3 linked regions of the Macaca mulatta genome follow. The protein of the gene in region 2 interacts with the protein of the main gene of each other region in a biochemical or structural test. Links are inferred from orthologs where the notes say so. Each region holds a gene or a part of one and is shown on either strand. Other genes may lie near its edges.

Evidence for each region.
Region 1: the proteins of CDC34 (region 2) and FBXO7 form a complex in vitro, tested with the Homo sapiens proteins (2 studies listed by BioGRID, with this or other methods). The link is inferred for Macaca mulatta from reciprocal best matches to the Homo sapiens genes CDC34 and FBXO7.
Region 3: the proteins of CDC34 (region 2) and RNF7 form a complex in vitro, tested with the Homo sapiens proteins (5 studies listed by BioGRID). The link is inferred for Macaca mulatta from reciprocal best matches to the Homo sapiens genes CDC34 and RNF7.

Annotation. Positions count from the first base shown.
Region 1 is NC_133415.1:19,006,231-19,009,877, reverse strand, and holds part of FBXO7 (F-box only protein 7), read left to right. Parts: intron 1-206; coding exon 207-244; intron 245-3,178; coding exon 3,179-3,565; 3' UTR 3,566-3,647. UniProt on the Homo sapiens protein: Substrate recognition component of a SCF (SKP1-CUL1-F-box protein) E3 ubiquitin-protein ligase complex which mediates the ubiquitination and subsequent proteasomal degradation of target proteins and plays a role in several biological processes such as cell cycle, cell proliferation, or maintenance of chromosome stability.
Region 2 is NC_133424.1:1,177,243-1,180,889, reverse strand, and holds the end of CDC34 (ubiquitin-conjugating enzyme E2 R1), read right to left. Parts: intron 841-3,647; coding exon 627-840; 3' UTR 98-626; downstream 1-97. UniProt on the Homo sapiens protein: E2 ubiquitin-conjugating enzyme that accepts ubiquitin from an E1 ubiquitin-activating protein, and catalyzes its covalent attachment to other proteins by an E3 ubiquitin-protein ligase complex. In vitro catalyzes 'Lys-48'-linked polyubiquitination.
Region 3 is NC_133407.1:44,728,286-44,732,359, forward strand, and holds the start of RNF7 (RING-box protein 2), read left to right. Parts: upstream 1-1,240; 5' UTR 1,241-1,373; coding exon 1,374-1,548; intron 1,549-4,074. UniProt on the Homo sapiens protein: Catalytic component of multiple cullin-5-RING E3 ubiquitin-protein ligase complexes (ECS complexes), which mediate the ubiquitination and subsequent proteasomal degradation of target proteins.

The sequences.
Region 1 (3,647 bases), on a different chromosome or scaffold from region 2:
CCCTTAACCATCAAGAAAGTGTTTGAATTAGATAAGAAAATATGAATGACATAGTGTGTGTTATATAAATGATTAGTTTTTATTTTCTTTTTTTCTCATGCTTAATGGGTAAGTTTCACTTTTCTTAGGAGAAAAACAAAACCCATTGTTTAATGCTGGATGAATGAAATGTTTTTAAATCCTTATTTTTCATTTTTCCTTTGCAGACAATACTGTCAGAGTTCAAGACACAGATTGGAAAGAAGTAGGTATTTTTAAATATTAAGGCTAATGTCCATAACACAGAAATGACTAGTGAATTAATATATTAAGGGTATATTTTCACTTTTATATGATGTAATGAAATCTGTTTTCATTTAATTTACGCTAAATTTCAGTAAATGAAAATGTTTTCAACTTTTACTTTAGACTCAGTCCTTATTTTCTTATAATTATATGGAAAAAATGTTAACACAATGATTATTTTTCATCTTTACTTATTGTAAAACATTCTTTTGTTGCAACAAAATTTAAATGAATTGTCTTTGTGCTGGAGTAGTCATCAGCTGTTCAGCTAGTTAAAATAGTACCTTATGAAAAGAATATATTATACTGTTTCATAAGGTACTATTCTAATGTCTCCATAACAGAAACTGCAAGGTAGAGCAGCAAGTGCTGATGGAGAAGCTGCTGCAAGTTATACAGAAGATGTAGCTAAAATCACTGATGAAGGTGGCTGCATTACACAACAGATTTTCAATGTAGATGAAACAGCTTTCTATTGGAAGAAGACGCCATCTATTTCATAGCTAGAGAGAAGTCAGTGCCCAGCTTCAAAGGACAGGCTGACTTTTTTTTTAGGGACTAATGCAGTTGGTGATTTTTGAAGCCAGTGCTTATTGACCATTCTGAAAATCCTAGGGCCCTTAACAATTATGCTCACTCAGGCCTGGTGCGGTGACTCACGCCTGTAATCCCAGCACTTTGGGAGGCCGAGGCAGGCGGATCACCTGAGGTCAGGAGTTCGAGACTATCTTGGCTAACACGGTGAAACTCTGTCTCTACTAAAAATAAAGAAAATTGCCGGGTGTGGTGGTGCGCATCTGTAATCCCAGCTACTCAGGAGGCTGAGGCAGGAGAATCACTTGAACCGGGGAGGCAGAGGTTGCAGTGAGCCAAGATCGCTCCATTGCACTCCAACCCAGGAGACAGTGCAAGACTCTGTCTCAAAAAAAAAAGAAAAAAGGAATTATGCTAAATCTGTGCCTTTGCTCTGTAAATGGAACAACAAAGCCTGAATGACAGTACGTAGTTTATGGCATGGTTTACTGAATATTTCAAGTCCACTATTGAGGCCTACTGCTTATAAAAAATACTCCTTTTAAAATACTGCTCATGGACAAATGCAGCCAGTCATCCCACATCTCTGACAGTGATGTGCAAGGAGATTAATGTTTTCATGTCAGCAAACACAACTGCATTCTGAAGCTCATAGATCAAGGAGTAATTTTGACTTTGAATCTTATTATTTAAGAAATACATTTTGTAAGGCCATGGTTGCCAGAGACAGTGATTCCTGATGGATCTGGGCAAAGGAAACTGAAAACCTTTTGGAAAGGATTTACCTTTCTAGATGCCATTAAGCATATTCAGGATTCATGGCGGGGAGATGAAATATCAACATTAACAGGAGTTTGGAAGTTGATTCCAATCATCATGGATTACTTTGAGGGGTTCAAGACCTCAGTGGAGGAGTGCAGATGTGATGGACCTAGCAAGAGAGCTAGAATTAGAAGTGGAGCCTAAAGATGGGACTGAATTGCCGCAATCTCACAGTCAAACTTGAATGGATGAGAACTTGCTTCTTATGGATGAAGAGAGAAAGTGGTTTTTTTAAAAAAAAAAAAAAGTCGGCCGGGTGTGGTGGCTCACACCTGTAATCCCAGCATTTTGAGGGGCCGAGGTGGGCGGATCACGAGGTCAGGAGATTGAGACCATCCTGGCTAACACGGTGAAACCCCATCTGACCTAAAAATACAAAAAATTAGCCGGGCGTGGTGGCAGGCGCTTGTAGTCCCAGCTTAACTTGGGAGGCTGAGGCAGGAGAAAGGTGTGAACCTGGGAGGTGGAGCTTGCTTGCAGTGAGCCGAGATCGCACCACTGCACTCCAGCCTGGGCGACAGAGCAGTGAGACTCCATCTCAAAAAAAAAAAAAAAAAGTCAGTTTTTGGGTTACAGGTGGTTTTTGGTTACATGGATAAGTTCTTTAGTGTGGTGATTTCTGAGATTTTAGTGTACCCGCCACCCAAGCAGTGTAAACTGTACCCAAGATGTAGTCTTTTAGCCCTTACCTCCCTCCCAGCCTTTCCCCCTAAGTCCCCAGAGTCCATTACGTCATTCTTATGCCTTTGCATCCTCATAGCTTAGCTCTCACAAGATTTGGTTTTCCATTCTTGAGTTACTTCACTTAAAATAATGGCCTCCAGCTGCAACTAAGTTGCTGCAAAAGACATTATTTCATTCCTTTTTATGGCTGAGTAGTATTCCATGGTATACATATACCACCTTTTCTTTATCAGTGGTTTCTTGGAATGAAATCTATTCCTGGAAAACAAAGGATTTCGAATATTACATAAATTTAGTTGACAAAACAGAAGCAGGGTTTGAGAAGGTTGACTCTGATTTTGAAAGTTTTACTGTGGGTAAAATGCGATCAAACAGCACCGCATGTACAGATAAATCTTTCATGAAAGGAAGAGTCCGTCAATGTGGCAAACTTCACTGTTGTCTTATTTTAAGAAATTGCCACAGCCACTTCAGCCTTTAGCAACCAGCACCCTGACCCGTCAGCAGCAATGAACGTGGAGGCAAGACCCTCTACTAGCAAAAAGATTGCAACTTGCTAAAGACTCAGGTGATTGTTAGCATTTTTTATCAATAAGTATTTTTAAATATTTTTAAGTACATTGTCTTTTTAGATATAATGCCATTGCACACTTAGTATAGTAAACGTAGGATTTATATACACTGGGAAACCAAAAAATTTGTGTGACTTGGTTTATTGCATTGGTTTGGGACTAAATCCACAATATCTCTGAGGTGTACCTATAGATCTTTACTATGAAAGCAAATTAGAACTACAGGGAAACATCCAGATCACTTACCTTATCTTGTTCTTTTATTTTTCTTTTTTCTACAGCTGTACAGGAAGAGGCACATACAAAGAAAAGAATCCCCCAAAGGGCGGTTTGTGATGCTCCTGCCATCGTCAACTCACGGCATTCCATTCTATCCCAACCCCTTGCACCCTAGGCCATTTCCTAGCTCCCGCCTTCCTCCAGGAATTATCGGGGGTGAATATGACCAAAGACCAACACTTCCCTATGTTGGAGACCCAATCAATTCACTCATTCCTGGTCCTGGGGAGACGCCCAGCCAGTTCCCTCCACTCAGACCACGCTTTGATCCAATTGGCCCACTCCCAGGACCTAACCCCATCTTGCCAGGGCGAGGCGGCCCCAATGACAGATTTCCCTTTAGACCCAGTAGGGGTCGGCCAACTGACGGCCGCCTGTCATTCATGTGATTGATTTGTAATTTCATTTCTGGAGCTCCATTTGTTTTTGTTTCTAAACTACAGATGTCAACTCCTTGGGGTGCTGATCTCG
Region 2 (3,647 bases):
TCCACGCCCGGCGAAGCCAGGGTCCCAGTGGGGCTGGCCGTGTGCAGTCACTGACGGACCTGGAGACTGCCTCTCCCTCCCAAGCAGAGCTTCTCTGGCCTCTCATAAAGTAGTTTTATTTAGATTTCAAACAAACCAAAGCAGAGAGAAGAGTCGGCCACGGTGAATCCGTCCACTGGTGCTGGGACGTGGCTCCAGGCCCTGGAGCTGACAGGCGGGCCCGGGCCCCTCGGACCCACACCTGGGTCTCCCAGGCTGGCAGTGGCAGGAACGGCCCCCGCCCACGTTCCCAGCAGCCCCCGTGGCTCCTCCGGGGTACGGCCAGTCCGGAAGCTAGGGGGCCCAGCAGACGTCGGGGCTCAGCTCCCCTCCCGAGGAGAGGTGCGCGGGGCTCTCCCACCCTGGCCGTCCACTGAGCCCCGAGTGACGCGAGCGGCGGTGGGGCAGCCCCTCTTCTCTGAAGCACATGAAAACCCAGAACAAATACGGGAAAGGAGAAAAGAGCCCAGAACGAAACCACCAGAGGAGACGGGGACCGGCACAAAACCTCCGTGAGGTAGTCTGTCGTCGAAGGAGCCACGGGTCCGGCCCTAGTGAGGTAAACTCTGCGCGTTTATTCTGCGGGGTCAGGACTCCTCCGTGCCCGAGTCGTCCTCATCGTCCCCGAAGCAGCTGTCGGCCTCCTCGCCGCCCTCGCCGTCCTCGTAGTAGTCGTCGTAGAAGAGGTCCGAGCCCTCGTCGGGCGCGGGTGCCTTGGTCTTCACGCAGTACTCGGCCAGCGTGGTGGGCACCTTCACGCCGTCACGCTCCGCGTCCACCTTGGTCCCCAGGACCTGCTTCCTAGGGGGACAGGGCGGGTGAGGGCGCCACCTCCGTGCCTGGACCCGGCCCCTGCCCTGCCCCCTCCCCTCTCCTCCCCCGGGTCCGACGCTCATCCCAGCGCTCAGGTTTCTCTTAAAACGGCTGGGGTTGGCCGGGCGCGGTGGCTCAAGCCTGTAATCCCAGCACTTTGGGAGGCCAAGACAGGCAGATCACGAGGTCAGGAGATCGAGACCATCCTGGCTAACACAGTGAAACCCCGTCTCTACTAAAAAATACAAAAAACTAGCCGGGCGCGGTGGCGGCGTCTGTAGTCCCAGCTACTCGGGAGGCTGAGGCAGGAGAATGACGTGAACCCGGGAGGCGGAGCTTGCAGTGAGCTGAGATCCTGCCACTGCACTCCAGCCTGGGCGACAGAGCGAGACTGTCTCAAAAATAAAAATAAAAAATAAAAAAGGGCTGCAGTGACCCCTTAGGAAACAGCCCTGTGCATGAGGAGGCCCAGAGGGGAGAAACGACACCGGAGGGGCTAGGGAAGGGCAGGAGGTGCAGCGGGGAGGCCGGACGGCGCAGCAGTCACACCCACCCGCCCCACCCCGAAGCACACCCCACAGGACCCATCAGAGCTAGGAGAAAATAACAATGCCGGGCAACAGGGAGTGCCCAGGCAGCCCCACTCGGGGGCAGAAAGGCTTTCCGGAGCGCAGGAGCAAAGGAAGCAGCTGGGAGGGCCACGGACAGGAGGCAGGACCATCCCTGGAGCCAGGAACCAGCACAGGTGAGACGGGAAACGCAGAAACGGCCGGAGCCTCTCCGTGGCCTTGCCAGGATTCTAAACCAAGGGGGGCCTGGCCATCCCGGCCCCTGGCAGGAAGGGAGGCTCCGTTACCTCAGACTTTCTGGAGGGCACCGCGTACACCAGGCCCTAAGAGGGCCTGCCCCCAGCTCTGCCTCCAGGACACCCGTCAAGAACGTGCCCCCAGGACTGGCAGCAAAGGGGCTTCCGGGGCGTCCGGGGCTGGCATGGCAGGGCCGGGCTGCACGCTGACCCCATCTGACAGAAAACAGGAACGAGGCCGCAGCCTCAGCACTCCAACCCGGCCCTCGAGCCCCCGTCACCGATCAGGCACGGCTCTGGGCCTGGCTGCTACCGGGGTGTGCAGGTCCGGAGCGGACAGACACCCCCAAGCCCGGCCCACAAGCCCAGCGCTTCCTATGGGGATGCACAAGGCATGGAGGGCAGACGTCTGGCCTCTGGGACGTCCCTGGGCGGTGGGACCTGGCAGATTCCATGCTTTGCTTCCCGGGCTCTCTGACGGGCTGGGCGGGTGACGGGTGCCCTGAGGACGGCACTGCACGGGTGGCGGCCGTGGGGAGATGCACGGGAGGGCCAGGGTGTGACCTGACCTGTGCCGTGGAGGTGCAGCCGGTACACCGCCAGCACGAACCATGAGAGGGGAGCGTCTGGCGGTGCTATTCACCAAGGACCATCCCTGACCCGGCCGGGCTCCACGGCAGCCCGCCTGGTACAGCTCAGTGGGACTCGGGCTGCCACAAGGCCCACACACACACAGATTTAAAACAGGCACAAAGCAGCGAGCACGGCAGTCCACACGGGCACGTGAGTTGGCCCGCAGGGAGTTTTGAGGGATAAAAATAGTATGGCTTTTATTTCTGCGCTGGGATCTCGGGGAGGCGCCTCAGGGAGGTGGCCGGGAAGAACTGGGCCAAGGAGCCAGCCACATGGGCCAGGTGAGACGGCCAGGCCAGGGCCGCTGAGGACATCTGCACAGAGGGATGACCAGGGCCAGCTCCCCCGTGACCTCCAGGGGCCAGCAGGTGCTTGCAGGGCACTTCCCAGGAGGCCTCACGGGACCCGCCCACCATGGCTGCTCAGAGCCGGGACCCCCCAGCACCAGGACGCTGCCCCAGGACGACCCCACGACACCAGCTGCCAGCAAGTGCAGGACGGAAGGTGCCCGGGACGCTGGTGGGTCCTGGGGTGAGGAAGACACGTGGATTATGTGTGCAATATTTTAAAGGTCGTTTTTAAGATTCTGCTTATACAAAATAAAAACAAAAATAGGTGAGGCCTCTGTGAGGAAATCTGTGCAATTTCACTCTGAGAAATACAAGCAGGCGGGAAGAGCCTCAATGTAACAGGAGAAGCAGGAACCGTTAAGTGTCAACCCGTCAAGAAAGCCTCGCCTGTGTGTGCGGACACGCCCGTGTTTCCCGTTCACACGAGCACAGGCACCCCAGAGAAGAGGCTGTGGGGGTCAGCTCTGGGGCACGAGCGCGACGGGAGGAGAGGGAGAGCCGTGGATCACCACACACAGCCACGCAGGCGAAGTGGACGGCAGAAGGCGCCAGAAGGCAGCCGCACAGCCGTCCCCAGAGCTCGCCAGGCCAAGAGCCTGCAGGGACGCGTGCCTGACACAAGTAAGGCCAAGACCCCTGACTGACAGTCACTGGGCACACACAGCACAACCCCATTTCCTCATTAAAACATGGACATACGTTAAACCGAAGAGTCTGGAAAAATCTATGAAAACATTAACCACTAGGCCAGGGGCAGGGGCTCACGCCTGTCATCCCAGCATCTTGGGAGGCTGAGGCGGGGACATCACCTGAGGTCAGGAGTTTGAGACCAGCCTGGCTAAGATGGTAGAATCCCACCTCTACTAAAAAAAAATTAGCCGGGCATGGTGGTGTGCACCTGTAATCTCAGCTACTCCGGAGAACGAAGCAGGAGAATTGCTTGAACCCGGGAAGTGGAGGCTGCAGTGAGCCGAGACTGCGCCACTGCACTCCAGCCTGGGCAACCG
Region 3 (4,074 bases), on a different chromosome or scaffold from region 2:
GTTCCATTGGCCTGGTTACCTTTTGCCCAGGTATCAGGAGATGAGGGGATGGCGAGAGGCTCAGAATCCAAACTTGACAGAGTAGGTGTCCACCACTAGGTGACGGTGGGATCAGGCATCTCCTTAGGCTGTCTGTGCTTCTGCTTTCTTTTCAGTGGAGATGCCTGCTTTCTTGGAAACACATGTGATGGTGGGCTAGCAGTAGAAGCACTACTGTAATAACAATGTGATCTTTGTCATTTCACTTCTTCGGACCTCATTAGTCCTACATATAAAAAGAGGAAGTTAAACTAGCTCAAATGTACTGAGCAGAAGGAATGGAGACTCTGCAGATGAGGAAGCAGGGCCTGAAAAATACGTGTGGGTTGTGTCGCCACACACCGGGACTCCTGGGATCCTGACCTCTTTTAGGGGTCAAAAGAGGGCAAACTAGTTGCCTAACAATATTTAGAGCTATTTCTCTCTTTTCACTCTCATTCTACGAGTGTACACGGGAGTTTCTAGAAATTACATGGTATGTGAAGTTATCCCTCTAATGATAACCTCTAATGAGGTTATTACTGTGATTTTTAATGAATACATTTAAAAATATGTTTTAATTTCTTAAAAAGAAACATTAATCTCTATGTACGTGTGTATACATATACAGGAAATGTATGAATATTCATTATACATGAATGTACATATATTCATTGTATATATGTATATATATTCATACATATGTGTGTGTGTATATATATATTTATACATTTCCTACATAAATAAAAGCTCTTTAAGGGACTAATAATTTTTAAGTGAAAAGGAGTCCTGAGACCAAAAAGTCTGAGAATCACTGAGCCAGATTTCTAGATCTTTAAGATCATTAATTCACTCAAGAAATAATTGTGCCTCTTGTGGCCAGGCATTTTGTAGATACCGAGGACAATGTGGTGATAAGAACATATTCCCTGCTCTGATAGAGTTTTACACTTGGGAGGGAAAAGACAAACAAGTAAATTAACAAGATTATTTCTGAGAGCAGTAGTTTTAATGAAGCCATAAAGCAGGACACACATTCCAGCACAATCTGTGCGCCTGCTCAGACGTAACACCCCGCAGCGCGGCAGGCGGATTCGGCAGCGTAGCCCCGAGAAGCCCCAAGCCCGCTCGGTCGCCCCAGGAGGGCGGGGGCGGGGCCTGCCTGCCCCCCCGCCGCTGGCGTCCGGTGACGTCACTGGGCCGCGCCAGCCAATCGTGGGTGGCCGGGGTCTGGGCACCACGGTGGCCTGCGGCCTGCGGGCGGCGCTGTGGCCCGTCGGGCGGCCCGGCAGAGCCGCCCTAGCCTCCCGCCTACCCCAAGCCAACGTCTCCGCCGTCGGCTCCGCGGCGCCGCCATGGCCGACGTGGAAGACGGAGAGGAAACCTGCGCCCTGGCGTCTCACTCCGGGAGCTCAGGCTCCAAGTCGGGAGGCGACAAGATGTTCTCCCTCAAGAAGTGGAACGCGGTGGCCATGTGGAGCTGGGACGTTGAGTGCGATACGTGCGCCATCTGCAGGGTCCAGGTGATGGGTAAGCGCTGCACGCAAGGCCGGGGCCGCGCTGCGGCCTCCGGGAGCCGACTTCGGGATTGGGACTGGACGGGCGCCCGCCAGAAGCCTTGGAAAGTCCCCTGCCTTGGGGAGTGGGTGGAGGTCGCCCTGCCCGGGCGCCGGAGGAACGCGGAGCCACGATCCTGTTGCGGCTCCTGAGGGCTGAGGGGTTGTGCAACAGGCGCCCGGCGCCGGGTGGTTGGTGTTCTAGGGAGAGAAATGGGCAATAAACGGAGGTAAACAAGGTAATTTCAGGTAGTGATGGGTGTGACCAGGAAAATAAAACCGGGTGATTGTTGGGAACTAGCAGGAAACACTTCGGTTTGTGTGGCCAGCCCCTGTTCTAAAAGCTCATCGCAAGGTGGACAGAGTAAAGGCCGTGATTCAGCAGTGAACTTTAATAGTCTTGGTCACCATCAAAGTGATGCTCCGGAGTCATCTTCCACAAAACGACACCCTTAGTTCTCCTCGAGGTACACAGGAAAGTGTTCACAGCCATTGCATTTCCGGATTAGCTTACCGCCGCTCTTCGAATGGCTTTTAAATCTGGATTGATCTAAGACGGGTCAGATAGCACTAGCGTGGCTTGAAGGGGACAGTGTGATTCAAGAATATCTAAGTTTCATGGAAGCCGAAGAATTGTAAGCCCTTTTTTCAGAAATGTAGAACTTCACCTCCATTACACCCCCCTCTCCATATCGGATGTCATTTCCTGGAGAAGATACTGCCCTGCTCTGAGTCATGCCTTTGTGGAGAACCCTCTTACAAATATGTCCTCTTTCTGTGATATTTGGAGTTAAAATATTAGACCAAGCAAAATGTTTCAGAACAGCTTACTCTTGTTATATTTTATATGGTTCTAAGATCTCAGACCACTTTGAAAAGCAAGTGCTGTTTAAATGCAAGTTGTATTTTCAGATAGGGCATTTAAAATTACTGTGAGAGCATCTTCAGTGGAGTTCTTTATTGAGGGTAGTTAAAGAAAACAGACATTTCTGTAGTTTGAAAACTGACTTGTCTTGAAAAATGAGAGAATTGGAGAACATAAAGAGAATTGCTGTCCTTGAGGGGGGATGAGACTTTAAACCTACCAGAATCAAGAGATTTCTCAATTTATGCTCTTTTGTCTTTTATTCTAAGGGCTTGTTTCAAAGAGGATTTACAACAATTGGATTCAGATATTTTTACCTTTTACTTTTGAAAGACCTTGTTATTAGACATGACCCACTTATTTTATATGGATCACTTGAGCCCAAGAGTTTGAGACCTGCCTAGGCAACATCGCAAGACCCTATCTCTACAATTAAAAATTAAAATAAAGTGACCAGGCATGGTGGCCTCCAGCTACTCAGGAGGCTGAGGTGGGAGGATCCCTTGAGCCCAGGAGGTCGAGGCTACAGTGAGCCTTTTTCCTGCCACTGCCACGATACTCTAGCTTGGGTGACAGAATGAGACCCTGTCTCAAAAACAAACAAACAAAACATATTAGGCTTTAAAAGTATCTAGTTTATTTGCCAGCAGTACAGCTGCCCCTACCCTCACTTAGGAATCATAGTTTCCAGTTTGGGAAGCATTTTTTAACTGATCCAAGAGACTTTTTTTTTTTTTTTTTTTTTTTTTTTGCAATACAAGTTTTGCTAAACATTTTATCTCCTAAATAAATTCCTTTAGTTTAAAGGAAACTAAACTTTCACTTAGTTCCTTTTCAGTTTAAAAATAATGTTCCCAAAGGGTATTTTCAAAAGATTTCTCTCCCAAAAAGCTATTTCCTCCCCGAAGGAAAAACATTTAAGCAGTAAGTGGAAATGTATAACCTGAAATAATGATTGAAACTTTGCAACAAATAAACTTTACTGAGATATTTTAATGTAGGTCAAAGTATAGGCTATAAATGACACATTTCATCATAAACTTTCTAATTATAGCAAGTATTCTGCTACTACAGGATCAGTCTTGCATATTTGCAAACAGCTGTACTTTGGGTTCAGGAAAGTATTCTAGGCTAGACCTTTGTATTTTGTTTATGAGGTGTTAAAACCCACTTAGAGGTCAGGTGACAGCAGAAGGAAACTTTTTTTCCAGACTTCCTAGTCTTTACCCTAGCACCCTTCTAAAAGGTGTTATTGTACTCCTTAGAAATGTGCTGTTTTAGATTCTAGGAAGATCATTAAAGCAAATTTTTATCTTTTATCTGCAACTTTAGGAATTTGTGTAGATTTGGGTCAGTTTTGATAATCTACATTAGAGCTATAAGCGTAATTTAGAGATTCCTAGATTCAGCAACAAGAACCCACTTTGTTCCCTTTCCTTAGTATTTGGAATTTATCTCACACTTGTGATTTATTATACTTTCTGCTCCCAAGATTTGCCCGTCAGCCCATTCTGATATGGATAACACTCTCATCTTCGTTTCCACTATCCTCCCTTCATTCAGAAAAGAGTGATGATTGCATAGTGAGCAAAGTGCTGATGAAAAGCGTTGAATAGGTTTGCTAGTAGAGCCAGT